Mus musculus: one gene and its partners. The protein of the gene in region 1 purifies or fractionates together with the protein of each later gene. This does not show direct contact. Links are inferred from orthologs where the notes say so. Each region holds a gene or a part of one and is shown in the gene's direction. Other genes may lie near its edges. The genes, in order: Snrnp70, Snrpa, Mrps26, Cdc5l, Snrpf, Larp7 and Snrpd3.

Region 1 (3,500 bases):
CTGAGTGCTGGGCCTGTACCTAGTGGAGCGTAACTGAGGCAGTGGTGAGCAGTAGGTGCTTTTGAGGCCTTGAGGCCCACTGTTTAGGTTGGGCAGGATAGATAGATCCAGGTCTCCCAGCCCGGGCGCAAACATTCCTCTGACATTCAGAGGCTCCCTTTTTTCCTTCATCCACTTGTCTCTAGATGATGTGGGAAATGTAGTGTCTCCCTCTCAGGGTTCCCTGTAGCTTTAGTTGCCCCTGTGGTGGTGGGTGTGGGGTTGTGTGAGTGTTCAGGTAAGCTTGGGGTCTCCAGGTAAGCAGTCCCGTGTCCCAACCCCCACCCCACCCCCGGGAAGCCCGCCTCCTCGCCAGGCCCCCAGGAGTTGCCGGCCCCCCCCATCCCGCTCGGTTTGGACACCCGCAAGGCCGGCATCGGTAAATGGCACCTTTTTCTCTTCCTCTGGTTGTTATTGGGGGGGAGTGGGCAGGGGTGGGGCAGGGTATTGTGGTTGGTGAGCACAGCCCCTTAGGCCAGGGCTGGGACCTGGACAGGGACTTTTTGGCCTTCTTAACAGCCCTGCCTGATCACAGGCCTGGGCTCTGGGCCTTCCCACTATGTCTTATGCTCCTCAACTTCCCTGAGGGTTCAGGCAGGGCTGCATGCCCTGCTGGCCATTGACCTCGGCTTGGAGGACAGAGCTGGCCAGGCTAGGTGGTGGCAGGGTCAGTCGGCTCAGGTAAGGCAGGGATTTTGAGTAGCACGGTACATGTCCCTTTGAGTCCAGCCAGGGTCCTTGGAGGTCCCTGGGGAGCTCAGCACCCACCTATATCCCTGCCAGTTCCTGAAGGTCTTTCCACTCCTGTTCATTTCTGTTCTGATGTCTCTTTCCTCACACTGACCTCCCCTATAAAAACACACAGAAAAACAAAAACAAAAAAACAAAAAAATAATCTGGTGTGGTCTGGATGTGGTGGGGCCCAGTGGGCCTCCTGCCTCAGCATGGTGTCTAGGGTGCATGCCTGGGTGTGGAGGAGCCTAGCCAGCCTCCTGCCCAGCATGGTGTCTAGGGTGCATGCCTGGGTGTGGAGGAGCCCTCCCCACAGCAGAGGCCAGCATTCAGCTAACCTCCAGTTTCTTTGCAGCAATTTGGCCGCCCTGGCAGGAGGGGGCTGCTCCATCATGTGAAAGCTGGGGGAGGCCAGAGTAAATGTTTTACCCCCCCAATAGCACTTGGGGGTGCCAAAAAGGAATCAAGCACCGGATGGAGCAGGCCCTTCAGGGTGGGGAGAGGGCGGTCTGGCTGTTGGTTGCCTGGCTGACTGGTGGGAGTGTGAGTGTATGTGTGCAGATGGGGTTTGAGGGGCAGGGATGCTGTTGTATGGAGCCTTGTCTGACTAGAGGACCTTCTGGGGAATTCCCCCTCCCCCACATCTGTTGCAGCCGCTTACAAGCACGCAGATGGCAAGAAGATAGATGGCAGGAGGGTCCTCGTGGATGTGGAGAGGGGCCGGACTGTGAAGGGCTGGAGGCCCCGGCGCCTAGGTGAGTGCAGTATTCCTTCTGGGTGCCTGGGCCTGTGATTAGAGATTATTCTTCCTTCAGTCTCCCCAACCCATACGCCTGTTCCTCTCCATTTCCAGCTTGTCTTCTCATCATCTTCATGGCTTTGGACACTGGTGCACACAGACACCTACACATGAGCACCCAAGCATACCCTGGTCTTTCCTGCATGAGTGATTGACCAGCAGCAGTTCTTGTGCAGTGTGGGTAACTTCAGCACTGACCTCAGCCACCTTATGCCCATATACTTGGTATCATGGGCTGGGTTGGAGGGTATCACTGGCTCTAGCTTTGCTCTTGCTCTCACTGAGTGGCTTCTTCATTCACTCTCTAGCTGAGTCACCAGCCCAATTCCTGGCTTCACATCTGAAGCAAGAAAGCAGCAGCCTGTGCTCTGACCTTGCATCTGACCCTCCTGGCCTTTCTGGTGGTTGTGGGCTGTCTCCATGGGGGTTGTTGTGGCAAGTCTTGAAATATATCTGAGGGTCTTAAAGCATAAGGAATAGAGGTGCCTACTGATGCCAGGCTCTTGTTTCAGTCCCATGATTGTGATATCATCAATAGATCCTCACCAAGACCTTGAGACTGGACTTGGAGAGTTTGCTGCTCACTCTGTCAACAGGTGTCACTCTCTAAGCTATTTGCTGATGCCTCAAATTAGGCCCTGGCTGGGTTTAGGTCTTTTGTGTGAGTAGCTTCACTCTGTCTTAGGCAGTATTGCCTGGCTCTGCTTTCACCTGTGCACCTGTGCAGAGGTGACCTACCATCCCAACCCCCAGGGACCTCCAAGTCTTTTATTTATTTATTTATTTATTTATTTATTTTAAAGATTTATTTATTGTTATATGTAAGTACACTGTAGCTGACTTCAGACACTCCAGAAGAGGGCGTCAGATCTCATTACAGATGGTTGTGAGCCACCATGTGGTTGCTGGGATTTGAACTCAGGACTTTCGGAAGAGCAGTCAATGTTCTTAACCACTGAGCCATCTCTCCAGCCCCTTTTTTCTTTTTTAAAAAAGGTGGATCCTTTAGGCTGACTGCTGTGCTGAATGAAGTCTCAGAAACAAGACAGTTGTTGTGGTTACAGATTTGTTGATATTAATATAGTAAGGTATGAGCCCGCTTCACTCCCATGGACAGACACTTAGCCTAGGTGAGACTTTGGGCAGCATTTTTGCCCATGTGCATAAAGGTATTTGTTACTATTTGTGTGAGGATCTGAGATATGGTCTTAACTGTGAAGCCCAGGGTAGCCTCAGGCTCTTGGTGATCCTCCTGCCTCAACCTTTAATGAACAAGATGTTTGTTTTCTCTCAGTTTCTGAAGTTTCAGACTGAGTTAACTATTTCTGTTGCTTTTAGACTTGTGACAGTTAGATATGAAGAGTGATGGAGGGACGGAGTCTACTTAGGGTGCAGGAAGTGAGTGTTTATTTTGAAAACTGTTGACATTGTAGCTGTCTTTGGCCACTTTGTGGGTTCTTTTTTCAACCCTATTCTTCCACCCTTTCATCTCTGTAATACATAAGAGAGGAGGGGGAAAAGAATAGAGAGGAGTGGAAAGAGACCCCTGAATACAATCGGATTGAAAAGGAGACTACCTGCAGATTAGGGGCATTGAGTTCCTTGGGGCAAGTTTGATCTTCACCATTAGGATATGTAATTTCTTCTTGTTGTCTCTTATTTGTACCTGACTACTTAAGAAACCAACAACCTACCCTCTTGTACAATCCAGGATGCGTATACCCTCTGAAAAGTTCTCAGAATTCCAAATGCCACACAATCACAGTAACTATCCGCAGCTGGCAAAACCATGCCTCTTATAGGCATGAAGCAAACCCGCTGATTCAAAGCAGTCCCATATGCCCACACCTGGGATGAAAACAAAAACATGTTCTTATAATATTTCTGTGGGTTTTTTTGGTTTTTTCGAGATAGGGTTTCTCTATGTAGC
Region 2 (4,262 bases), about 18 Mb from region 1:
CTTTACTGTAGATCTGCTCGGTACTGTCTGCTTTCATGGCACTGGCCTGCATAACGTGCTCACTAGCATTTGTAGCTGCTTCGATTCTAGAAGCCAACACTGAGATCTGTCCTTGGGCTCCATTATCACAACTCTGGCTACTCTGGAGTCACTGTCTGGAGGCACAGAACCACTGGCTTCTGTGTCAAAGCCAGGCCCGAGCAGAAGCTGTTCTCTCTATTGCTGGAAGCTAACTAAGTAGGGTACTTAAGGCATCTGGCTGTTTGAGATCAAGGAAGTGGGACCGCAAAGAGCAGGGTGGCTGTGGTGACTTGTAATCAGGTGATTGTCTGAGATCTGGGCTGGTTTTGGGGGCTGGAGACCCTACCGGTCCTTGTGCAGCTTCAGGAGCCTCTTCACATCCTCTTTGCCTTTGGGGGCTGGGCCAGCCTTCTCTAAGGCCTCCTTCAGGAGCTGGCTGTTCTTCAGGCCATAGACATGAGGGAGAACAGGCTCCACAGCAGAGGGTAGAGGGGGAGGGGGAGGGGGAGGGGGAGGAGCAGGAGGGGGGGGAGGGGGCGGCAGTGGGGATGAAATAGATGTATGGAGACTACAAGGAGGGGATGGTAAAGCTAGGTCCGGGGGATTTAGAGGTAAAGGAGGTGGAATGTTGGTGTCTGGGGTCTCATGAATTATTGGAGAGATTGTGGGTTTTAGGGGGAAAGAGCATGGAGAAGTCATTTGGGGTCTACAGGAAGAATAAGAGGCTCTCCCCAAATCTCCCAAGGATGGAGATTTTCAGTTTTTAAAGGAACTGGATGAGAGATATTCAGGCCTGCACATTGAGATCTGTAAAAAAAAAAAAAAAAAAAATTAAAACTGGAGTTGATAGCAGAATATGGTGTCTGGCCAGTTGTTCTGGGAGAACCTGGGCTAGTATTTGAAACAGTGGAAAGAGAAACTGGGCTAAATCAAATGCTGAAGGATCCCGAAGGGTGGTCTGTGCTATGGGGCTGGGGCTACATTAGAAGGGACATTTTGTAGGTGTCATCTCATCTGCTGTAGCTAAGCTAGTTTTGGTCACTTCTGTTATTCGGAGGTTCAGATCTGTTGTGAGGTGTCTAAAGGATGTGACTTGCCTACTTTTTGCATTGCGGGCCTGAGTTTGAAACCTTGACTTTACGAGCTAGGGTTAAGAGGTTACAAAAAAGGCACGTGGGTGAGAAAACAGCCTAATGGTGGGCGGGTCATGGGCTTAGCGGGGAAGTATGAGAGTCGCAGCAACTCAGCGATCAAAGGCCAACTAAGTTGGTATAAACCTATCAATTTAGGAACTTAGGAATCTGCACAAGCGCCTCCCCAGGAGGAAATGACGTCACCCGGCCAGCCTCCACCTGTCCTTTCCCATCCCACGTGATAGAACTCGCAACCAGCACAACGCTCTTGAAGGTCACGTGATACTGGCGGAAGGGGAAGAGGTGTGGCTTCCGAAAGGCAGTCTTAGAATGCACCAGAGCTCTAACCATGTCCCAATTGGCCAGAAGCTCGTGCCCTTCTTTGATTGGTCCGTTCCCTCGCGTCCAGGGGGCGGGACCCCAAGTGTTCCTTTGGCAGACGCTGAGGCCGGGGGAGAGACTCTGAACTTACCGAGTTTGCCCGCCGTGATTAGCTCGCGGAAGGGAGAAGCCGTTGCCGGGGAAGATAGTTGTGTGTCTGTGCAGCGTAGCTCGGCGGGCGTTGTCGGCGGGAGCGACGGCTCAGGTGGTGGGTTCCCGCGGGTTGTAGACGCTGCTCGGCGCCGGGGAGGCGGGTGGAGCACTTCGGGAGGCCTCTCTTTGAGAGACTAGGATGTTCCAAGTCGGCCCCTACTTTCTTAACTGGCTCCGACATCCGGGGTCTTTTTTCCTCCCGGGACGCCTTTCGCGCACGTGGACTAATGGGAAGCGCCGCTCGGTGTGCTCCGCCTGCCGGGACTCGTAGAGCATTCTGGGATTCGTAGTTAACCTCTCTAGCTCTCCCTTAGCACGCGGGTTGGAGAAGCGGGGGCCTGTGCTGGCTTTGTTGCTAAGCTGTGACATCCTCTTCCAATTCCGGTCTTACTCGACTTCCTCTTGGAAGGGCGATCCCTGAGCATCAGCCCTTTGGAACAAAGAATTTGGGAAACTTAGGGCTAAAGTCGCTTTTTCCTCCTCTTTAAGCCGTACCTGAACATCTCACACCATGGCCACCATAGCCACCATGCCAGTTCCCGAGACCCGTGCCAACCACACTATTTATATCAACAATCTCAATGAGAAGATCAAGAAGGATGGTGAGTTCTTGGGGTAGCCTGACTCAAGGTGATATCACAAGAGTTGACCCCTTTTCACCTCTAGCATCCACATTTCTTTTTCAGCCTTCCCCATTCTGTCTGTTAGGAGTTAACTTTGGCCTTTGTACCTACTGGTTCCTTGGTTTCACCCTAGGTTTTACACTCTGCCCTTTAATCTGCGCATTGTTAGTGATCTTCCAGGTTTTAGCTCATAGGTCCCTTCTTCCTTTGAAGCCTTCCAGGATCGTTCTTGCCATCAGTCTGCTTTCATGAGACTGTCTCTGTCCACTGACCTCTGGGTGGTGGCCTCAGTGATTGACTACAATGCAGATGACACACAGGAGGGATGGGCAATGGATGGCTTTGTGATGTGGGTGATTGTGCCGCGTTCTAAGTCTTGACTGTCTTTAATTCTCACAAGCCTCTCAGATTAAGTAGTTGGAATTTGGGTGGCATAACTTGCCTGGGATCAAATAGCAAGAAAAATGAGACAGAAATGTGGGGTTCTGCTTAAGCAGATTCTTAGACTGGGCTGGTTGGCAGAGGCTGTAATTCTGTTCTTCAGGAAGAGTGAAAGTTTGAAACCATTTGGGACAACATGGCCAAAGCAGATAAAAAAGAAACCAAAGACAAACGGTTTCTTTTAGGGTGTGGAGGTACAGGGCTGTAATCCCAGTACTCAGGAGACTGAGGCAGGAGGAGCTTGAGTTCCAGACCAGCTGAGGCGACATAGCAAGACCCAGTGTCCAAAAGGTTTGAGGAATGTAGCTAGTGTTAGTCTTGCCTAGCAGGAGTAAGGATCTGGGTTCAAATCTCAGCAACTAAGAAAATCAGCATGGCCTGGAGAGAGCTCTGTGGTTAAAGAATGCTGCCTGATCTAACAGAGGATCTGGTTTTGATTCCTTGCCTCCAGGGAGGTTCGTAACTGTGTGTGTCTCCAGTTCCAGGGGATACGACATCCTCCTCTGGCTTCTGCAGGCAAAAAAAAAAAAAAAAAAATCCACACATAAAATTTTTTTTTTTTAAGATTCTTTTTAAATAGAAATCCCTACCAAATAATTCAGTTCTTGTCTGGAAGTAAGGCCCATAGTTAGAAAGTTTCTGCAAAGACTGAATCCCGGCACACATTTTTAAAAAAGTAAACACAAATGACTATTTTTATGTATTTATTTTGTGTGCATCTATAAATGGATGCATGAGGGTGGTCAGGACCCCTCTAGAGAAGCCTTTGTCTTTCAGCTGTTGAGTTCCTGAGATCATATTCAGGTCGTGAAGGCTTGTGAAGTGGATGGATGCTCTACTGCCCTTGCACTGGCCCCTTGGTGCATTGCTTTGTGGAAGTAATTCAGAAGTTAAGGAAGGGTAAATACTGGTTCTTATGACCAACTGGAGAAAAGTGTCGTGGGAGGACTGGGAAATGACTCAGCTGGTACGCATGCTTGCCTGTAAGCCTGACTTCCCAGGTCCCACTGTGATTGACTTCAGGTACCTGGTGCTCCTGCCTCAGGCTCCTGAGGGTTGGGATTCTCGGGTGGGGCCAGCATGTCCAACTGACAGGCTTGTAGCTGTTAGTGGTGGTCGGTAAGTGGACTTGTGATGTCAGCAGGAGACAGGGTAAGAAGAGGGCCATAAGGGGACATCTGGACAGTGAAGTTGGAGAGAGCTTCCTGCAGGGAGGCTGCAGATTTATGCTGAGACTTAAGTGGCTAGAGGGGCAGTCATGGAGATGTCAGGAGAAGGGCATTCAGTGAAGAGTACAACGGCTGAGGTGTGGCGGACACTAGGAGGCCGTGCTTGTGAGTCAGACTGAGACAGGAGAATTGTTGACAGTTTCAGGCTATAGAATGGGATCCTACCTTGAATAAACAAGTGAAGGAAGGAAGGAATCGATGGCATGTCAGGCTTAAAGGCCTGGAAGGTTAGCTTAAGAGTGAAAAGAAGTGTTTGTTATTTGAACAGCAAGTTTGTAGTA
Region 3 (3,559 bases), on another chromosome or scaffold:
CCTTAGATCTAAATCTCTTACATTTATGAAACCTTCTAAAAGGATGGGTGCACCTGACTAGCGAGAGGACTTCAGAGCCAGCAAGGTTAGGGAGCCTCTAGGGAAATGGCCCATACCCTAGAATATTCTCTTGGCCTAGACACTTAAGTTATCTGAGATGAGTTGCCGGTTGTCTAGGGTGACCCTGAAGAAGAAAGGGTTAGGACAGGTATGGTGGCATATGCCTTTAATGCCAGAATTTAGGAGGCAGTGGCAGGTGGATCTCTGTGAGCCTGATCTACACTGTAAGTTCCAGGCTAGACAGAGCTATCTAGTGAGACCCTGCCAAAAAACAAAACAAAAACAAAAACAGGGTGGGAGTGTCAGGTTCCCTGACATTCGGAGCAACCCTGTGGTACTCCAGGGTAGGGCAGCAGTAATGCCCTGGTTTCCACAGACCATCCATCCTGGATCCTCCAGGGCCCAGCAATGGTCTTATGGCCGGAACCCTGGAGGAAAACCTGTCACCAGCTTGCCCCCAGGACTCCAGAGTACACTCTGGCATCTCATCTCCAAAGCCTGACTGAGAGAAAGAAAGTGCAGACTGGGCCTCCACCAAGCCTGGAAGTTGAGAGCAGGGTTTAAGCAGCCTCTGTTCTCTTCTGAGAAAATGTCTGTTATTGCACCCAGTCCTGGCTCCTCAGACACTCCCAAGTGTCCTGGAAGTGCAGGACCATGGCCTGGTGTTCTCTGCAGAATCTGGTCTAGACAATACTAATGAGTGGGGTGAAAGTTCAGTTCCCCAGTACTCGGGTCAGCTTCTGATTTCCAACAACTCTCCTTGCTGGAGAGGCAGAGGGGAACGAGCTACTTCTGAGACAGATGCTCTCTGCCCTGCTGCACTGCTGTTTCTCTTCAGTTGGAGAGGAAATTGTACTTCATAAATAAGAGTAGTCTCGAGGTGGGAAGACCCCGGGTCAGGTGGAAGAGGACAAGGGTCACCTCACAGGTCGCCCAGTTGAGAACAAGTTGTCACTGATACTGAGAACTCTGGCAACTGCAGAGCTCCCCCAAGACCACAGCAGGGCAGTGCAGTGCAAGGAAATGGTTTGCAAATCTAAAGTTTAAAGTAGCCAGGAACTCCAAATTTCTTGCATCAGGTCTGGGAGGGTAGACAGGCCATCGGCGGGCCAGAGAGCCCCAGAGCCACACACTTGGGACGGTGTCCAAACTTGTGAACAAGTGGGCAGAGCGTCCTGCGGTGTAGCTGTCTTTAGCGGGCGACGCAGCCCAGCAAGCTGTGGGTCTCCAAGGTGCCCCTCGACCCCTCCCACTCTACCCGAGAGTCCGGACGTGCATTGGACCAGACAGCAAGAGCTCCGCCCAACAGGGACGAGGACAGGAGGCTCCCGTGGTGCTCCGCGGCCACTTCCGGGCCGGGCGCAGGCGCAGGCGCTGGCTGTCATGTTGCGCGCTCTGAACCGCCTGGCGGCGCGGCCGGAGACTCGGCCCCCGACCCCGCTGCTCCTGCCCGTGCGCGGCCGCAAGACCCGCCATGACCCGCCTGCCAAATCCAAGGTCGGACGGGTGCAGACGCCTCCCGCCGTGGACCCTGCGGAATTCTTCGTGTTGACCGAGCGCTACCGACAGTACCGGGAGACCGTGCGCGCTCTCAGGTGCGTGTGCTTGTGCGTGTGGAGGGCAGACGCCCTTCGGGAAGGGCCGGGGCCGAGGGTGGGTGCTGACTCGAAGCCCGTCCTCCCCAGGCTAGAGTTCACGTTGGAGGTGCGAAGGAAATTGCACGAGGCCCGAGCCGGGGTTCTGGCCGAGCGCAAGGCGCAGCAGGCCATCACGGAGCACCGGGAGCTGATGGCCTGGAACCGGGACGAGAACCGGCGAATGCAGGAGCTACGGTGCGAGAGGCCCGGGACTGGGTGGGCTGGGCTAGGCTCATCTGTGGCCCCGCTCACCCTCGGCGTCTTGCCCCTCGCAGGATAGCGAGGTTGCAGCTGGAAGCACAGGCCCAGGAGGTGCAGAAGGCTGAGGCCCAGGCCCAGAGGGCTCAGGAGGAGCAGGCTTGGGTGCAACTGAAAGAGCAAGAAGTGCTCAAGCTGCAGGTGGGCATGCAGGAGGTCATGGGGAATGTGGACATTGGAGACCCCAGCAAGGGAGGCTGGGGGGGGGGGGGGGGGATGACAGCACTGGGCGTCAAGTGACCAGAGTCTTCAGGAGGCTTCTCCATCAGCGCAGAGGGTATGCCTCGCAGGCAATGGTCAGTAAAAGGTTACAGGCTAGTATTGCCTTGTGAAACTTGAAGTCAGGGAAACCGTAAGTGAGAATGGAGCGCTTTTTAACACGTAAGAGGGATTCATGCACTTGAGAGAGTCCACCCACCTCTAATCAGGTTGTCACGATTTGTTCTTGGGTTGTGGCCGAGAGATCTGATGGGTGATTGTCCAAGGAAGAGCAATATGATGGTCGAGGTCACCTAGTACAGTTGTGCTGGACGATTGGTGGGACACTCAAAGAGACCCTGGGTTCTTTTGACACCCGTGGACTAGAGACAGTGCAGGCAGCCAGCTCTGGGAGAGATCCCACAAAGCCAACCTTTCTCTTCCTGTAGGAGGAGGCAAAAAACTTCATCACTCGGGAGAACCTGGAGGCACGGATAGAAGAAGCGTTGGACTCTCCGAAGAGTTACAACTGGGCCGTCACCAAAGAAGGGCAGGTGGTCAGGAACTGAGCACAGAGACTTCTGGGGGCCCAAATAAGCACAGTGCTTGCCTAGGGTCTGTGTACTGGGATAGGAATTGGTACATCCCAGGAGGATGGCTCAGCCGTTTCCAGAGCAACCTCAGTCACTCCAGGCTCGGCACTCACCACCTGACTGGGAACTCCCAGATGTCCCTGTTCTGGCACCACAGACAAACTCAGGGCAGCATTAAACTCTGGGAAGTTCCTATCGCACAGAGGATCGGACTGGACTGTGTCCCCTCTAGAAGCCAAGCTTGTCTTGTAAGTCTCTTGGAGTCGTGTGAGCCAAATGTTTCCTGCTTTTATAAATAAAGTATTGGAGCCCAGTCTTGCCCATTTACTGGCTATAGTTACAGTGCTAATGAAAGAGGAAAGTAGTTACACCAGATGCTAACTTGCTTGTAAAATCAAAGGCGTTTGTCCCTAATTATTTGAGTCTTTAGGTTTCTAGCCAGAAGCAAGTTTCACCTAACTGAGCTATGAGTTAGGTACCTGCTTTGCTCAATCCTGGGATTTTCTGGCTAGGGTCTGGTGTGTCCAAGATCCAGGAAGCAAAAAGGGTGCCCTGTTTCTCCTGATGGCTCTCCAGCAGTGACTTCTGTAACCAGGCCCTGTCCTGATCTATCATATTTTGAACTACTCAGCAGGTGGTAGACTCCCAAGCTAAACCTGCTTCTTCCAGTCAGTTGCTGCCCTTCTGTGTGTGTAAGTGGTAGCCAGAGGGCAGCCTTGGTGTCATTCTTCAGGACTCTCACCTTGGTCTGATTTAAGTTTGTTTTGGTTTTTTTAGTTTATTTTTTACTGTGTTTTATTCTGGCTTTTGAGA
Region 4 (3,500 bases), on another chromosome or scaffold:
CCACTGCATGAGAGTGACTTCTCTGGTGTGACCCCACAGCGGCAAGTTGTGCAGACTCCAAATACAGTTCTGTCTACCCCTTTCAGGTATTGTAAAAATCAGCATGGTCTGTAGTTTAGAAAAACTTCACTTAAGAACCTGAGCAGCATGATTTTTTTTGAGTAATGTTGACAGAGATTAGAATAACTATTAACTTGGGTTTGCCTTTTTGATGTCTTCTAATTGGGTTGCCTGGTGTCTTTGGAGGTTAGATGAGGGTATTGGCTCCCAAAGAACTGGAGTTAAGGTTGTGAGCCGCCATGTGGGTGTTAGAAATTGAACCTGGGTCTTCTGCAAGAGCAGTCTGCACTCTTAACTTGAGCCATCTTTCTAGCCCTGTTATTTATTTTTAGTTGTTAGCTCTGCCCTCTATGGGTTATTTAGGCTAGAAATCCCCACAGTCCATTATACTTGTGGATGAGAGCAGAATCAAGAATCATCGGAAGCTAGTCTTTGTATAGTAGTTATTGCTTCCTGTGAGGCTAAAGAGAGCCTAATTTCTATTTTCCTGTGTATATCTTGTCTCTTAAATAGATTGTAAGCTCCTTGGGGGCAGGGACCATGTCTTAAATGATAACACCGCACCTGTTGGGAACAGATGTCTGGCAGTACCATCAGTCTGGAACACAGCCAAGATACAGGAAGTAAGCAACCAAAACCAGAAAGGCTTTGACTAATTAAAGTATAAGTTGCTGCTGGACTTTATTGTTGAGAGCCTAAACTCAGAACCTGTTCATCATTAGATGTGAATCTGAAAATGTGGTGTTTGCTTTCCAAACAAAATATAAAAGCATAAACCATGTAAAGTGCACCTTTGATGGGAATGAGTGACATGAAAGGTAAAGACTTAAGAAGGGAGACAATAAATGATGAGCACACTGAGCTCAGCATGTCACCTGGGGCCCCCGAGTGAGTGTGGTGGCCAGCCTCTCTGCCAGCTGCTTGTTCTTAGTTACCCTACTGCCTCAAAGGTTCAAAAAATGTCTGGTGAACCTGGCATGGGAAGGCAAAACATCAGATGTAAGGGCTGGAAGCCAGTACAGTACATATAAATACTGTGCTCACCAAACTGAACTTCAGTCTTAATCAACATAACACAGTGAAAGCAAGAGAAAGGTTTTGGTGTCTTTATTCCTTACTTTATGCATTTACCATGACTTAGATTTCTGTTTGTATAGGACTCCTTCTAATGGAGCTGAAGGGCTGACTCCCCGAAGTGGAACAACTCCTAAACCAGTCACTAATGCCACCCCAGGTAGAACACCACTTAGAGACAAGTTAAACATTAATCCAGAGGATGGAATGGCAGACTACAGTGACCCCTCTTACGTGAAGCAGATGGTAAGTATCAGCTCTTTTTTATGTTTATATATTCAGTGCATTGAACCCAGGGACCTTCAACCTGCTAAGCAGGTGCTCTATACTGAGAGATACCTCCAGCTCTAAATTTTTAAATTAAATTCAAGTTTTTCTTGTGTTTTGCCTGCATGTGTGTCTGTGTGAGGGTGTTGGATCCCCTGGAGCTGAAGTTAGAGACAATTGTGAGCTGCCTTGTGGGTGTTGGGAATTGAATCTAGTTCCTCTGGAAGAGCTGCTAGTGCTCTTAGTAACGGAGCCATCTCTCCTCGCTTGCTCTCTCTCTCTCTACCAAAATCAAGTACAGATCCTAATGAGCTCTTTTCTCTGTCCTTGAAGACATAGTTTTGAGATTTTTAACACCACAATACACTGGTTTATTACAAGTCAAGGTTTTGTTTGATATTAGTGAAGGAAGGTAAGAGAATAAGAAAGTTGAGGATCACTTTACAAGAGTCACTACTAAGTTAATTGTTTGATTTTTACATATATCTAAACATTTAAATTATACTTTATTTCTTATTTAGTGTATATTCCTGTGTCCCGTGTGGGTGCACATTTACCGTGGTGTGTGTGTTTGGGTCAGAGCACACCTTACAGGACTTGGTTCTCTCCTTCTGCCCTGTGAATGAGACCTAGGTGGTCAGTCTTGGAGGCAAGCGCTTGTACTGGCCCCAAGCCAGGTGTTTCAGAAACTTTTGTTTGTTTTGTTTAGACGGAAGCTGGTTTTAAGTTTGTGGTAACCCTGCATCAGCCACCTAAGTTTTGTAATTACAGGCATGTGTCACTATGCTCTGCTGTTTTAGAAGTTTTTAGAGACTTTATTAGTTAGTACTGACAGTGTGAATTGACAAGGACCAATTCTTCTCTACAGGAAAGAGAATCTCGTGAACATCTCCGTTTAGGGTTGTTAGGCCTCCCCGCACCTAAGAATGATTTTGAAATTGTTCTGCCTGAAAATGCCGAGAAGGAACTAGAAGAACGTGAAATAGATGATACCTACATTGAAGATGCTGCTGATGTGGATGCTCGAAAGCAGGTGAGAATCATTAAAAAGCATCATCAGTATGGTCAGTATGGTCATGCGGCTGTTGAGCAGTGGTTCTCAACCCACGGGTTGCAACCCCTTTGGGGTTACATATCAGACATCCTGTAGAGCAAATACCTGCATTGCAGTTTCTAACAGTAGCAAAGCTACAGGTAGGAAATAGCTGTGAAATAAGGTTATGGTTGGGGGTCACCACAACATGAAGAACTGTATTAAAGGGTTGCAGCATTAGGAAGGTTGAGAGCCTTTAGAGGGAGGCATGGCTGTCAGTGTTTCTAGGTTGCTACTTTGAGTTTTTCTAATATTTTAACAAAATTCCTCAAATTATATTATTAACAATAATATACTCACATAAATGAATGATCTTATGCTTAGAATATCTTAATTGGTTTTTTTAGATGTTTGTATACATATGTTTGTTTAAACACTGAAATTTACTATGCTCTTCTAAACACAAGAATGTGTTTTATTTATAGAAGTGAAGAAAGGATTGCTTTAATCTAGTGAAGAAAGGATGTTAAAAGCAAAAATTGGATTAGTTTTGAATAATCTTAGATCTGTACAGACCGACAAAAACTAGATTTGGAAGTTGGGAAATATTAGCAACCTCTTATACTGATGCAGTAGTTGTCCAGTGATATATAGGTTTTAGCTCCATTTGGAAGAAGAAAATTGGGTCACATTAGTTTTTCTCATACTGCATAGCCCCTTTCTGTCATATTGTCTCAGGATGGTTGTGAGAACAAAATCACACTATAGATCATTGCTATATTTGTTTTCTCTGTAACGTGCTGCAGTTTTTCTTGCAATTGGGCAGATGTGAGGATACAGAGTTTGAGGTCTAAACTGTTGGATAAAGTTTTAATAAGTTACTGACATGATGAATGAATTGACACTGTTGTTAGTGTTTCTGTGCAGTAAAGGTTAGGCTTCGATCCTATGTCAGTATGGAACTTGTGAAATGCACGAGCTCCCACAGCCGCTTCTGTGCAGCTGAGAGACACCGAGACATTGCCATCAGTTGATTGCATGATTAGCCACATTTAATTGGCATTGC
Region 5 (4,184 bases), on another chromosome or scaffold:
ACTCTTGGTCCTTTGCAGAATACGGAAGACAGCTCAATACAAGGAGAAAAATACTAACATGAATCTGTCTGAGTCTAATTCCCAGTATTTCATCACCTACAGTATTAAATTAGAAGTTGGACTAGGTATCCCCAGGATTGTGAGTTTAAGATTTATAAATTTGTCAATGCTGACTGAATAAGTAGAGCATATTTGAGTGTCAGGAACAGTAATTATTCTTCCATTACCATGGGAAAAAAATCCGAGCTAAGATTTCGGTCTGATCAAAATGTATCTGAGATTAGCAGCATCATTTTTAAAATTTTCTTTATCATGTTTTGTCTGCATGTGCGCATGTGCACCGCGGGAGGGCCTGGCACCCACAGAAGTCAAAAGAGAGAGATGGGTCCCCGGCACATGAAACTTTGGATGGTTGTGAGTCACCACCATGTGGGGATGGGATTCGAACCCAGGTCTTTTCACGTGCGAAAAGCGCTCTTCTCCATTGAGCCAACACCCCCAGAATGTGTTGGCATACTTTAATAATATAAACGACAGTCTTTAGGCTTAGGCCTGGGCCAATCTCGAATCTCGAGTTATTTGGGGAATCCATGCCAAAAAAACAAAACAAACAAACAAACAAAAAACCGTTCAGGTTCATATAGGGTTAGATCTCCCGAAAAAGAAAAAAGTACTCTTTTTACACGGGTTTCATATCACAGGTGAAGCGATACTGAAATGTTGAGATTATGGGGAAATTAAACGGGGTTCTGATCGATAACTTTCCATCAGAGCGATTAACCTGTGGTAGCGTCAATAATTCCCCACATCCTATTCACAAACACACGTAAACGGACCTCCTTTGGCCTCTGGTTCTGGGAATGCTTAGACATCAGAACGACAAGAGGCCACCACATTATCCGAGACTTAACTTGACCTGGTTTCAACTGTTGTAAAGCCCCACTTGAGTGCTTTTCACTAGCACTCACGTAGTCTTGCTACCCCAGCTTCCTTTAAAAACCCGCAAGTGGACGGACATTCTGTAATAAAGAACAGTCCCATAAAAGGGGGGCCGTGCCAGAGGTGTTCCCCAAGTGCTGGATCTATGGGAGGATGACCTCCAGAACCCGATCTCGTTCTTTCAGCTGAAGGACAGACTAAACCTTCTTTAGCTAAAGAAACCAAGTCCGTTCGCCAGGGCACTTAGCTTCCCCTTGTCCCGAAGCAAAGACATTGGGGTCGCTCAATCGTTCCCACTTCGAACTTGAGCAGTGGACACAAACACACGCTTACCTGGTTGCTAGGAAACAGTACCGCCATCCCCTCCAATCAGTAAACACGTCTTTGGTGGCCAATCACAGAAGCCGAGACAACGCGGCGTGAGGTGAAAGGTCAGGCCGCTTTTGTCGGCCATTTCTCTTAGCGCGGGTCGCTTGGTTGTAGCGGCAGCCGCTCCGGTCACGAGGGGCGGGCAGCGGCGGAGTCGGCGGCTAGCGGGGTGCAGCGCTCGCCGGTGGTCGCGATGGTAAGGACGATGAGCGCCGCGGGGGCTGGAGGACGGGCGGCCTCGCGGGGCCCGCCGCCCCCTGCGCCTCCCATTCATCCCCACGAGGCGCCGCGCGGCTGGCCGCTCGCTCCTGCTCCCGACGTCGGAGGCCTTGGCGGCGCGCGCGCGGAAGCCCTTCCCCTCCCCGAGATCCCCAGCCACCTTTCCGCGTGTTGTTTGTCCCGGAGCCTGAGGTGTAGCCTAGTTTGGGCTCACAGGGTAGGGGTAAACCGAAGCGAGTTTTCCATTTCTACCTAGCACGCTCCGCAGTGCGCCATTTATTCCTTGCTGTTGACAATTTTAGCAGATTGTCCTCTGGCGCAGAAAACCCCGGCTACCCTTCCACTCATTTAATACTGATCTTAGGCGCCAGGAAGATGGGGTGGTAAGGTAGACTCTGCGTTTTCTTAGGAGTGGGAGGTAGGCAGCCGTCAAATAATAACAACAAAATAAGCAATTACAAGTAGCGGTGATTGTTAAGCAGGGAGCTGATAGGATGCTCTGAGAGGTGCACTGCCTAGTTATAACGCAGTGGAGGAGCGCTCTTCTCCAGAAGGTGTCAAATAACCAGACATCCAGGTCACAGAGCAGGTGGAAGAGTATTTCTTGCGCGAGTTCCAAGTAGAAAGTAGGTTTGACCAGTTGGAATTGACAAGAATTGACCGCTGCTTGCAAGAATGATGGTTTTAAAATACAGCCTGGGACCTTAACGCCTCCTAGGAAATATGAGGCTCTGTCAAGTGCAGTTAGAGACCATTGGAGCATTCTTTTAAGTCACAATAGTACATGACTTGATAAGTGGTTTGTGGATGATAAATTATAGGCAGCGTAAATTGGCTACTCATTTAGACCCTGTGCTCTCCAAGATTCTTTGGGATGGTGTGTGAGTGGAATGGAGTATGGGGGTGGTTATGAATTTAAAGGGAATAATACTTCTTGATTTAGCATTAAGAGGCCCTCTCACTGACGATATTGAGCTTTTTTTTTTTTTTTAATGTCTGCAGAGACCACCCTGTACCTTTATTTTGATTCCTTTAGAGCTTGGATAATGTAGGTATTTGGGGCTTTTGTCCATTCGGCAGTGCTCAAAATGGAACTAGTGACCTAAGTATCCTAGGGCAGTGCCCTGTCATTGTGTTACACACTTGCCCCACTCCCATCTGTCATTCGACATTTAATTGCATAATTCATATTTTCGTTTCTGTCAGTGGACTATGAAGTTGGCTAAATGGGTACTTAAATTTCTCTCAGACACCCTCCAGCAAATTATAAAGTGATGGTGGATCGGAGTTTACCCTGTGTCATAAAGTCTTGACTGGTGTCTCAGTAGAGAGTGGGTGGTGGAAGCTGAGGTAAGCAAAAATTATTGAGTGCTGCCTTTGGTTTTTATACAGAGTCTACCCCTCAACCCCAAGCCCTTTCTCAATGGGCTGACAGGGAAGCCAGTGATGGTGAAACTTAAGTGGGGCATGGAGTACAAGGGCTACCTGGTCTCCGTGGATGGCTACATGAACATGCAGGTATGCTGAGGAGGAGGAGCATGGGTGAGGAGCAGGAAACCAGGTTTCTACTGTGTCACCTTACTCCTCAAAGGTTTACTGAGACTGGTGGGAATGCGCACAGATTGACAATAGAAAGTGGAGTCGAGATTAAAGTATGAACCAGGGAGGAGGTTGAACCATGATGTTCTTAGGAGTACTTACACCAGAACACAGAGCTTTGACATTTGGTCTCTAAAGCAGAAGGGAAAACTAGTTTATTACAGAAAACAATGATTCAGCCTGTCTTTTTCTAAGACGTGTCTGTATAGGCGATTAGCACTATGATGCAGTGGCATTAGTACTCAAATGGAACTCTGTACCCATTAAATAGTTCTGTTACCACCTGTAATCCACCTGTAATCCAGCCCTATGATTAAGAGTGGGACTGTCTCTCATGTAAGTGGAATGTATTATAAATTCAGCTAACTTCAGATCAAAAATTCTTAAGAGAAATTATATCTTATGTTCGAGGTACACAGTCCTTTTGCTTTCTCCACTGTACTAGGCTATGATCAGTCTAGAAATTAGAAGGACATTAGGTTCTATGCAGATGCTCAGCTATTTGAAACAAGGAGCTCCAACACCCTTGGTCCTAGAGGCCCTGGAACAAAGCCCCATAAATGCCCTGGGGTAGGCTTTTTGTCCTTTTGTCTGGTTTGATTATAGCTTCAGGATTCATTGATAGAAGTTACTGCTTTTCAGGACTGAATAATATCCCGTTATATAGCTATAACGCATTTTTACAGTCTATTATGTTTGTTTGGTTTTTTTAAAACATTATTTTATGTGAGTACACTGTCACTTTCTTAAGACACACCAGAAGAGGGAATTGGATTCCATTACAAATAGTTGTGAGCTACCGTGTGGTTGCTGGGAATTGAACACAGGGTCTCTGGAAGAACAGTCACTCTTAACTGCTGAGCCATCTCTCCAGCCCCATCTGTCCAGTTTCTTGTAGGGATCAAGCCCAGACCTCTGTACATGCTGACCAGCAGTCTGCCACTAAGCTACATTCTCAACCTGTTCATTCATTTTGATTTCTAGTTTTTAATTTTATTTTATGGATGTCTTGTCAGTGTACTATGTATATGCCTGCTGCCCATCAAAGTCAGACAAGG
Region 6 (3,500 bases), on another chromosome or scaffold:
TCTGCAGACTTCTCCACAGCAACATTTTAAAGTGCTTAAACCACATTTTCTTTAATCAATCTTCACAGACTTGTGTCTACCTTTTATGGACCACAGAAATGAGAAAACTTCCAGACACATGCAGATATGGTTTGGTCAACTTGGTGGATTATAGTGTTAACATTAGTGAGGATAAATAGATTTTGGCCGGAAAGAATACATTTCCTTTGAAATGTGTGGAATGGCAATATAATTATTCATTACTACAGGACCTTGGGAAAGTACAAATAGGGTTAGGAGTGCAGCAAGGGCTGAGGAGTGGTTCAGTGGTAGGATATGGAAAGCCATGGGTCTAATTCCTATTCCTAGCATCAAGGAGAAAGACAGACAGAAAGTGGGTAGAGATGAGGAAGCTCTGTAACCAAGGTGTAGCCATTTAACTAACTGGTTTTCTTTGGACCTGGAGTAGGGAAGCTAAATTGTTCTGTAGTTTATGTGACTTTCTGTTTGGTCTGTAACTTGTTCCAAATTGAAGGTGTATTTGATCTGAACTGGAATATGCTAAGTTACAAAAGTAACCCTTAAGAGAAACAGGAAGAATGGCCTCTGGGCTAAGGTAGTGGAATGATAACTGTGAGCATCTGTGTTTTGCAGTTCTGTGTGCTCTGCTTTAGATCTAGTGGGTGAAGAGTAGAGTAGCTGTGAGTTCCACTATGCCTTGGATCAGAGTCTCGCAACCTTTCTCATGCTGTGACACTTTAATACAGTTCCTCATGTAGTACTAACTCCTAAGCATAAAATTATTTTGTTGCTGCTTCATGACTGTAATTTTTCTGTTTTAAGTAGTAATATAAATATCTGATATGCAGGTTATCTGATATGTGAGCCCCAAAAGTGTCTCACCTACAGGTTGAGAACCTCTGCCTTAGATGGTGGGCTTTGACAGGAAAAAGAACTAGAAAGCTGTAAGCCCGCCCATTATGATTAACAGTTAGCAGTGGAGCCTGCTCTGATCACTGAAGTCTGTATTTATATTTGTTTATACTCCACCACCTTAGAAAAGAACTTGAGATGCTTAATACCTTATTTTCATTATATAGGGCGAGACATTCACAGAGGCCCACCTGCCAGTGCCTCGTGGGTGCTGGGGCTTAGGTACCACCATGCCTAGCTACAGGGACTTTTAAATATATGTAACTACTTCACAAATACGTAGTGATTAAAGCCTTTGCCTCTATATTTGTATTATAGTGGGGTAGGTAGATAACAAAACTCTAATTCCAGATAGTGGTGAGCATTGAAAGAAAAGTCTAGGGGATAGTTCAGATTGGGATCCATGGGACTCTTGTAGGTTGGATGAAAGACAAAGCTCTCTTAAACAGTGGCATTCACAGATCTGGGTAAATAACCAAGCCAACCATACAGTCAATTACACACTTGACATGAGAGTGTGTGTGAGTATTAGGGAAAGAAACAGCAGGAAATTGACTATAATAAAACAGAGTAGAAGCCAGCTGACCTCTAGGGAAGATCTTGGAATAGTTCAAGTGAGATGTGATAATAACTTGGACCAAGTAGCTTATTAGAAATAAAAGGATTAATTGAGGATGTATTTTAAAGCCCGTGCTAGTCTGACTGCTGGTGAATTGAATTGACTGTAGAGTATGAGGAAGGGAGTGAGACTGCTTTCTGGTTTTACAGTTTTGTAGTTGGTATTTTGCAAAGAGGAAAAAAAATCTTAAATTTATAGAATTCTGTTTTTTTTTTTCAAACACAAAAGAGATTTATTTATTCCAGAGGGATAAAGAGCAGGGAATAAGAGATAAAGACAGGAGAAGGGATGAGGGAGAGGGGCTGGAATTCTGTTTTTGTCAGATAAAGTTTGCGATATCCTCTAAATGAACAAATGGAGATGTCAAGTGTGTAATTGACTGTTGGAATATGGAGCTAATGAGAGTGTGTATGTATGAGATAGAGAGCCCAGAATTGAATAGCCAGGACCCTCAGAGAGGATAGATGAGACAGGAGGCCAAGATAGGAGTTTAGTCACAGTTGGAAGTGTCCCTTTTCTGGAAGGATCCAGAAAAGGCAAACTTAAAGCCAGATGAAGAGGTCAGGTAACTGTTGGCATTAGGCAAACACTGAGCTCATTGGGGTTCCGCTTAAATGGTAGGAATGAAAGCCTGGAAGGATACGGTGAGTTGAAAACCTGAGATGAGATCCAGTATTCACCTATTTTTTAAAGACAAGTACACTGTAGCTGTCTTCAGACACGCCAGAAGAGGGCGGCAGATCCCCTTACAGATTATAGATGGTTGTGAGGCACCATGTGGTTGCTGGGAATTGAACTCAGGAGCAGTTCATCTCTCCAGCCCTCCCCCCCCCCCCATAGGGCTACAATGTACTTAATTAGTAATTATCAGGTAGAGGGTTTTTTTTTCCTCTTTTTTTTAATTAGGTATTTTCCTCGTTTACATTTCCAATGCTATCCCAAAAGTCCCCCATACCCACCCCCCCAATCCCCTACCCACCCACTCCCCCTTTTTGGCCTTGGCGTTCCCCTGTACTGGGGCATATAAAGTTTACAAGTCCAAAGGGCCTCTCTTTCCAGTGGTGGCTGACTAGGCCATCTTTTGAGGTAGAGGTTTTACTACTTGAATTTACTACAGAATTTGCACTTGCCTGACAGACCAGCTTTAAAAACATCCTTACTGATGTCAGTGAGATGGCGTCCTGCAGCAGGAATTCCTGCAGCAGGAAGGTTCAGGTGACAGGGGCATTTAGGCACTTTACAGTTTGGCATTTTTGTTTTTTCCCCTCTCAGAATGGAAACTGAAAACCAAAAAACTATGGAAGAAAGCACTAAGAGAAAAGAAGAAAAAAAGAAGCGCTCCCGGGTTAAACAGGTGCTTGCAGATATTGCTAAGCAGGTGGACTTCTGGTTTGGAGATGCAAACCTTCACAAGGACAAGTTTCTGCGAGAGCAAATTGAAAAGTCTAGAGATGGATGTAAGTTTTTTGTCTTTGTTGGAATTTCCAACTCACATTTATATGGGGCCAGAGCCTCCTGAGAGCTCAGTACTGTATATGTTCATGACACACAACTGCATGTTGAACTCGTGCTTGTTTGCACACATGTATATATTCCAGTGTTTAACATCCCACTATCCTATTTACTAGATGTGGACATTTCTCTCCTGGTGTCTTTTAACAAAATGAAGAAGCTGACAACTGATGGGAAGCTAATAGCCAGAGCATTGAAAAGCTCATCTGTTGTAGAGGTAAAAAACTTACATTTCAAGTCACCCACATCCAATTAACTACTGACTTTATTTAGCTTTCCTTTTTTTTTCCCCCCTCATAAAGTTGGACTTAGAAGGGACCAGAATCAGGAGGAAAAAACCCCTAGGTGAGAGACCAAAGGACGAGGAGGAACGCACGGTATATGTGGTAAGAAATGACACAAATTTTAATTCTAGTTCATTTATTTATAATTCATTTATTGGTAAAAATGTAGGAAC
Region 7 (4,139 bases), on another chromosome or scaffold:
AGAAAAAGATGTTCCCTTTGCTGGGTGCTCCCAGGCCATTCTTTTCCCCCTCTTTCCCGCCCCTTTGCTGAGAGCTCTCAAGCCATTCTTTCCCCCTCTTTCTCGGCCTCAGGCTTTCCACAGTTCCCCGGGGAATAGGATCACCCAACGTGCTTCAAGCAGGGCTATTCGATTCTGGACAAGGTTGTGCCTTTTTGCCCCTTGGACTTTTCCACTTGACGGCTCTCAGCACTCCCTGGGCTTCAAGCCCCAGGAGACTCAGGAACGACCCTAAGTGGAGGACAGGAGATGAGAAGGAATATCCACCTAGCTAGGACCCACTAGAAGCTCCAGGCTGGGCTGAGGCCGCAGACGACCCAAGGTCGCGCGCGGCCAGACCCTGCCCGGCTCTAGGGCGGAGTCCCCCTCCGTTCCCCCGGTTGAAGGCAAGGCCCTGAAGAGAGGCACTGACCGGGCTCGAGCGGCTGCCCCGCTGCCTCTGCCTCCGTCCTCATGACCCGGATGGCGCAGGGCGCCCATGGCCCCGGCCTGGAGCTGATTGCAGCGGCGACTTCTGCTGGGCAGCGAGCGCGGCCAGTGAGCGCAGAGTTCCTCCTCCTCCGCCTCCGCCGCCGCCGCCGCCACCGCGGTTCAGAGCCGGGTAGGCGGTGGCTAGGCCGCCTCAAGCCACGCCTAATCCCTTCCAGGTCTGGGCGCTGGAAACCCGCCCCTTCCATAAGCCACGCCTCTTCCCTTCCACCCCCACTTCTCCTTCCAGAACCCGCTACCCGTAGGTCCTTCCCTGAAACGCTCCGGGGGCCCCTCCCCCTCCCCGAGCCCCGCCCCTCCCCGAGCCCCGCCCCCAAAGCCCTTCCCCTAGCGACGTGGGCTCCCCACGCTCTCCCTCCGCTAGGTCTGTTCTTCTGCAGCCTCAGATGGAAGCTCTGGTTCTCCGCAGTGCCTTATCGAGACTCCAGGGAACACTTTCCCGACTCCTTTTAGGTCTTCTTACCCAGACAAGGAATAATGAGAGTTCCCAGGGCTCAGTGCGTCCCTTACCTGCCGGTGGCCGGATCCAAAGCTTAAATCTCTAGTCCAAGCCTCACTTCCTGTCTCCCCAGAGCACTGGGCTCAAGCCCAGATCCCGCCCAATCCGCCACTACAGTACTCAGGGTTACCATGTTCCCTTGTTGGGCTCCAGGATTGGTGTTTCCGGCGGTCCCCCGGGCCCTCTCCGGTGCCGGAACTATTGTGCTAGAGCCCTGGTTTCCCCAGCCGGCTAAGTGAGAGTGAAGGGCAAGTAGGCTTAAAGGAAAGGGAGGGGCCTGCGCAAGGCATTCTGGGAGCGCGTGGTATTCGTGAGAGTCGGGCCGGTCGTTCTCTCGCCTTCGCCTTCTAACGTTTGTGCCAGAACCGGAAAAAAAATAAAGCCTGCAGTTAATTGGTGAGGAGAGGCGGCTAACGGGAGAGAGGAGGCCAGGGCTTCCCCAGGGGGTTTAGGAGCTGGAAGGGCCGCTGCGGAGGAGCTCAGCGGGGCTTGCTTAGCGGAGGGCGGGAAGCCAGGGCCTATCCAAAGCTCATCTCCCGAACCCTTGAACAGTTATTAATTTACGCCTAGTCTGCACGTTCGGTGCCTTCTCAGGTCACCGATTTCCGAAGCTTACGGGCAGTCATTTCTTGCTAATTACCTCCTTTCCTTTTGGATCATCATTTACAACGTCCCTTTCATCCCTGCCTCCACTCCCATTCCTGCAGTGGCCCTCTTTTCCACGCTGCTGCAGAAGTTTAATCAAGTTGCCGTGCTATATGTTCGATCCACTTTGTAGATGCTACTCTTTTTTTTTTGAACCTTTGGCTATCATCCTGCAGTGTTTCCCTACCATTTTCAGCATGGAAACCCACACTCCTAAAGTTGAAAGCCGTGGTTCCTCACCGAGAGAGAGAGACTGTGTTTAGCATCCTTACAGTCTTCTCATGCAAATAAATGGTGTGCTCCGGTTTTGAGTCGTTTCCAATCTCAGCATTTTAAAAGCCCTGTGCATAGTCTTTGTCTTGTAGTGAGACTTAAAGTCGAGCGTTTACCCTATTTCTCTGCTTGATGAACATTTCCTATTTATAGCACCGTAGCCTTGACAGTTTTGGTCTGCTTTTTGGTGGGGATTCAAAACGCTGGATTGAAAAGCGCAAGCTCTTTTTCCTAGCTTCCTTGGGGCTCAGGTCTATATGTACTATTAGGTTCTGTAGCCTTTATCCAAATGTGGTGGCTGACTACTTGGGATATTTCTGGTGTGACTGAAAGACTGAGTTTGCTTTTATTTGCATTTTATTTAACTCCATGTAAACAGTGATTTGTTTACACTCCGGGTCTATATCATAGCCCTTTTAGTGACTATAAAGGGTCATATGGCTGGGATGAGAATGGGGGTAGTACTCTTTGTTCCCATTACTTTTCATTGTCCAGCTTACCATCCTTCCCTACCCTACGTGTTGCGCTAATTTGCTGTGGTGGTTCCTTGAGGCCAAGAGCCACACTCCTTCCACAGGAAACGCAGCTCTTGACATCATTTACAAAGCCCATGGCGTGCCAGTCCTTAAGCTCTGAAAGATGACCATCGTCTCTCTTTCCCTGTAGCCCGGGAAGAGTCCTGCCAAGATGTCTATTGGTGTGCCGATTAAAGTCTTGCACGAGGCTGAAGGCCACATAGTGACGTGTGAGACCAACACCGGGGAAGTATACCGAGGGAAGCTCATTGAAGCAGAGGACAACATGAACTGTCAGGTATCCTGCTTGGCACCAGGGCTGGGAAAGGGCTGTGGCTTCTATCCTGTGGGTAGAGCGGTGTACTTGGAGGTCTTAATGAAGTTATTCTCATCAAACAGTTATTAACTAAGTACTTATTACCTGTCAAGCACTCTTACAGGCTCTAAGATTTTATGTCAGTATAGACTTAGCCTTGAGGCAGAAAAGTCATTTGACAGCCTGTGGTTGTACGTGTGTATCCGAGCACTTGAGAGGCTGAGGTAGATTCTCGAGTTCAAGGCCAGTCTGGGCTTTATAGCAAGACCACACTGCTTTTGGTAGGGAGTCAGAATGCTGAATTGAAAGCACAATCTCTTTTCCTAGATTTCTCTGGGGTTAGGTCTATATTTACTGTCAGGTAGCCTTTAGCCAAATACAGTTGCTAAGTACTTGTCTATAAAACAACCAGTTAAGTTTCACTTTTCTGTCTCAGAGTCGGTCAGGTTCAGAGCCAGTGTCTGCTTCCCAGCACAGTGTATAATTTGCAGGATCTTCTACTCACGTATTGTGTGTGCTTACTTTTGTCTTGGAGAAAGTTTCATCTGATAAAACTGCCAAAGTTTTGGCATATGGTTTGGGGGTTTTCCCCATTAATTAAGAACTTGAGCTTTGGAATCAGAGAATTCCCTGATTCCAAATTGAGTTGGGCCATAATGATAGGACCTTGGGTATCCTGGTCACTTGTTCTCCCCTGAATAAAATGAGGATGGAGTTGTTTTGGATCCTCTGTGCTGTAAATGCCAACCCAGAATTAGATACACCAGAGACTTTGGGGAGGTGGCGTGAAGGACGCCAGTGACCGAGCAGGATTGCGGAAGTGATTGGTTACTTTGCTTGTTGCTGTGATCAAATTCCTGACCAAAGCAACTTAAGGAAGGGGGAGTTTATTTCGACTCACAGTGTGATGAGACAGTCTGATGCAGAAGAAGTCATGGTGGCAAGAACTTGAGGAGGGTACTAACTAGTCACATTGAATCTGCAGTCAGGAAGCAGAGATGAGTGCCAGGACTTAGCCCAGTTTCTACTTTTCACCTCCACCTAACCTAGACAATCCCTCGCAGACACGCCTGTCCCTTCAGTAATTCTAAATCCATCAAGTCGGTAATATTAATCATCGTAGCAGGAGGGTCTTCAGTCCAGGAAAGGAAGGCAGAGTGAGCAAAAGGAGCCTCAGGCTACAACATGGTGCTGAGGAAGTTTCACCCAAGTAAGAGGAGTAACTGGAGCCAGTAATGGACTGGCTCTGATGTTTCTGCTGTGGTCAGTCCCTGGCAGCCTGCTGGAAGGGCTGTCGCAGCGTGAATGCCCTGGCAGGTCCCCCAGAGTGGCAGCTGGAGGGTGCCAACCTGTTGTCTCCTGA

The links.
Region 2: the proteins of Snrnp70 (region 1) and Snrpa purify together in Homo sapiens (affinity purification with mass spectrometry; 4 studies listed by BioGRID and IntAct, counting the BioPlex papers as one, with this or other methods). This does not show direct contact. The link is inferred for Mus musculus from reciprocal best matches to the Homo sapiens genes SNRNP70 and SNRPA.
Region 3: the proteins of Snrnp70 (region 1) and Mrps26 purify together in Homo sapiens (affinity purification with mass spectrometry; 3 studies listed by BioGRID and IntAct, counting the BioPlex papers as one, with this or other methods). This does not show direct contact. The link is inferred for Mus musculus from reciprocal best matches to the Homo sapiens genes SNRNP70 and MRPS26.
Region 4: the proteins of Snrnp70 (region 1) and Cdc5l purify together in Homo sapiens (affinity purification with mass spectrometry; 3 studies listed by BioGRID and IntAct, counting the BioPlex papers as one, with this or other methods). This does not show direct contact. The link is inferred for Mus musculus from reciprocal best matches to the Homo sapiens genes SNRNP70 and CDC5L.
Region 5: the proteins of Snrnp70 (region 1) and Snrpf purify together in Homo sapiens (affinity purification with mass spectrometry; 5 studies listed by BioGRID and IntAct, counting the BioPlex papers as one, with this or other methods). This does not show direct contact. The link is inferred for Mus musculus from reciprocal best matches to the Homo sapiens genes SNRNP70 and SNRPF.
Region 6: the proteins of Snrnp70 (region 1) and Larp7 purify together in Homo sapiens (affinity purification with mass spectrometry; 3 studies listed by BioGRID and IntAct, counting the BioPlex papers as one, with this or other methods). This does not show direct contact. The link is inferred for Mus musculus from reciprocal best matches to the Homo sapiens genes SNRNP70 and LARP7.
Region 7: the proteins of Snrnp70 (region 1) and Snrpd3 purify together in Homo sapiens (affinity purification with mass spectrometry; 6 studies listed by BioGRID and IntAct, counting the BioPlex papers as one, with this or other methods). This does not show direct contact. The link is inferred for Mus musculus from reciprocal best matches to the Homo sapiens genes SNRNP70 and SNRPD3.

Annotation. Positions count from the first base shown.
Region 1 is NC_000073.6:45,378,743-45,382,242, reverse strand, and holds part of Snrnp70 (U1 small nuclear ribonucleoprotein 70 kDa), read left to right. Parts: exon of another isoform or gene 1-1,424; coding exon 1,425-1,526; intron 1,527-1,624; coding exon of another isoform or gene 1,625-1,725; exon of another isoform or gene 1,726-1,747; intron 1,748-2,082; exon of another isoform or gene 2,083-2,166; intron 2,167-2,908; exon of another isoform or gene 2,909-3,434; intron 3,435-3,500. UniProt on the Homo sapiens protein: Component of the spliceosomal U1 snRNP, which is essential for recognition of the pre-mRNA 5' splice-site and the subsequent assembly of the spliceosome. SNRNP70 binds to the loop I region of U1-snRNA.
Region 2 is NC_000073.6:27,193,472-27,197,733, reverse strand, and holds the start of Snrpa (U1 small nuclear ribonucleoprotein A), read left to right. Parts: upstream 1-1,462; 5' UTR 1,463-1,743; exon of another isoform or gene 1,744-1,953; intron 1,954-1,973; exon of another isoform or gene 1,974-2,177; 5' UTR 2,178-2,199; coding exon 2,200-2,290; intron 2,291-4,262. Other genes in the region: BC024978 (UPF0692 protein C19orf54 homolog), read right to left, coding at 368-720. UniProt on the Homo sapiens protein: Component of the spliceosomal U1 snRNP, which is essential for recognition of the pre-mRNA 5' splice-site and the subsequent assembly of the spliceosome. U1 snRNP is the first snRNP to interact with pre-mRNA.
Region 3 is NC_000068.7:130,562,336-130,565,894, forward strand, and holds Mrps26 (28S ribosomal protein S26, mitochondrial precursor), read left to right. Parts: upstream 1-1,421; 5' UTR 1,422-1,443; coding exon 1,444-1,655; intron 1,656-1,745; coding exon 1,746-1,892; intron 1,893-1,972; coding exon 1,973-2,096; intron 2,097-2,602; coding exon 2,603-2,722; 3' UTR 2,723-3,059; downstream 3,060-3,559.
Region 4 is NC_000083.6:45,409,708-45,413,207, reverse strand, and holds part of Cdc5l (cell division cycle 5-like protein), read left to right. Parts: coding exon 1-86; intron 87-573; coding exon of another isoform or gene 574-580; exon of another isoform or gene 581-1,202; intron 1,203-1,217; coding exon 1,218-1,380; intron 1,381-2,269; coding exon 2,270-2,434; intron 2,435-3,500.
Region 5 is NC_000076.6:93,586,859-93,591,042, reverse strand, and holds the start of Snrpf (small nuclear ribonucleoprotein F), read left to right. Parts: upstream 1-1,384; 5' UTR 1,385-1,501; coding exon 1,502-1,504; exon of another isoform or gene 1,505-1,630; intron 1,631-2,919; coding exon 2,920-3,045; intron 3,046-4,184. UniProt on the Homo sapiens protein: Plays a role in pre-mRNA splicing as a core component of the spliceosomal U1, U2, U4 and U5 small nuclear ribonucleoproteins (snRNPs), the building blocks of the spliceosome.
Region 6 is NC_000069.6:127,546,850-127,550,349, reverse strand, and holds part of Larp7 (la-related protein 7), read left to right. Parts: intron 1-2,803; 5' UTR 2,804-2,804; coding exon 2,805-2,988; intron 2,989-3,159; coding exon 3,160-3,260; intron 3,261-3,345; coding exon 3,346-3,429; intron 3,430-3,446; exon of another isoform or gene 3,447-3,500. UniProt on the Homo sapiens protein: RNA-binding protein that specifically binds distinct small nuclear RNA (snRNAs) and regulates their processing and function.
Region 7 is NC_000076.6:75,516,703-75,520,841, forward strand, and holds the start of Snrpd3 (small nuclear ribonucleoprotein Sm D3), read left to right. Parts: upstream 1-1,339; 5' UTR 1,340-1,423; intron 1,424-2,611; 5' UTR 2,612-2,632; coding exon 2,633-2,758; intron 2,759-4,139. Other genes in the region: protein GUCD1, read right to left, coding at 452-494. UniProt on the Homo sapiens protein: Plays a role in pre-mRNA splicing as a core component of the spliceosomal U1, U2, U4 and U5 small nuclear ribonucleoproteins (snRNPs), the building blocks of the spliceosome.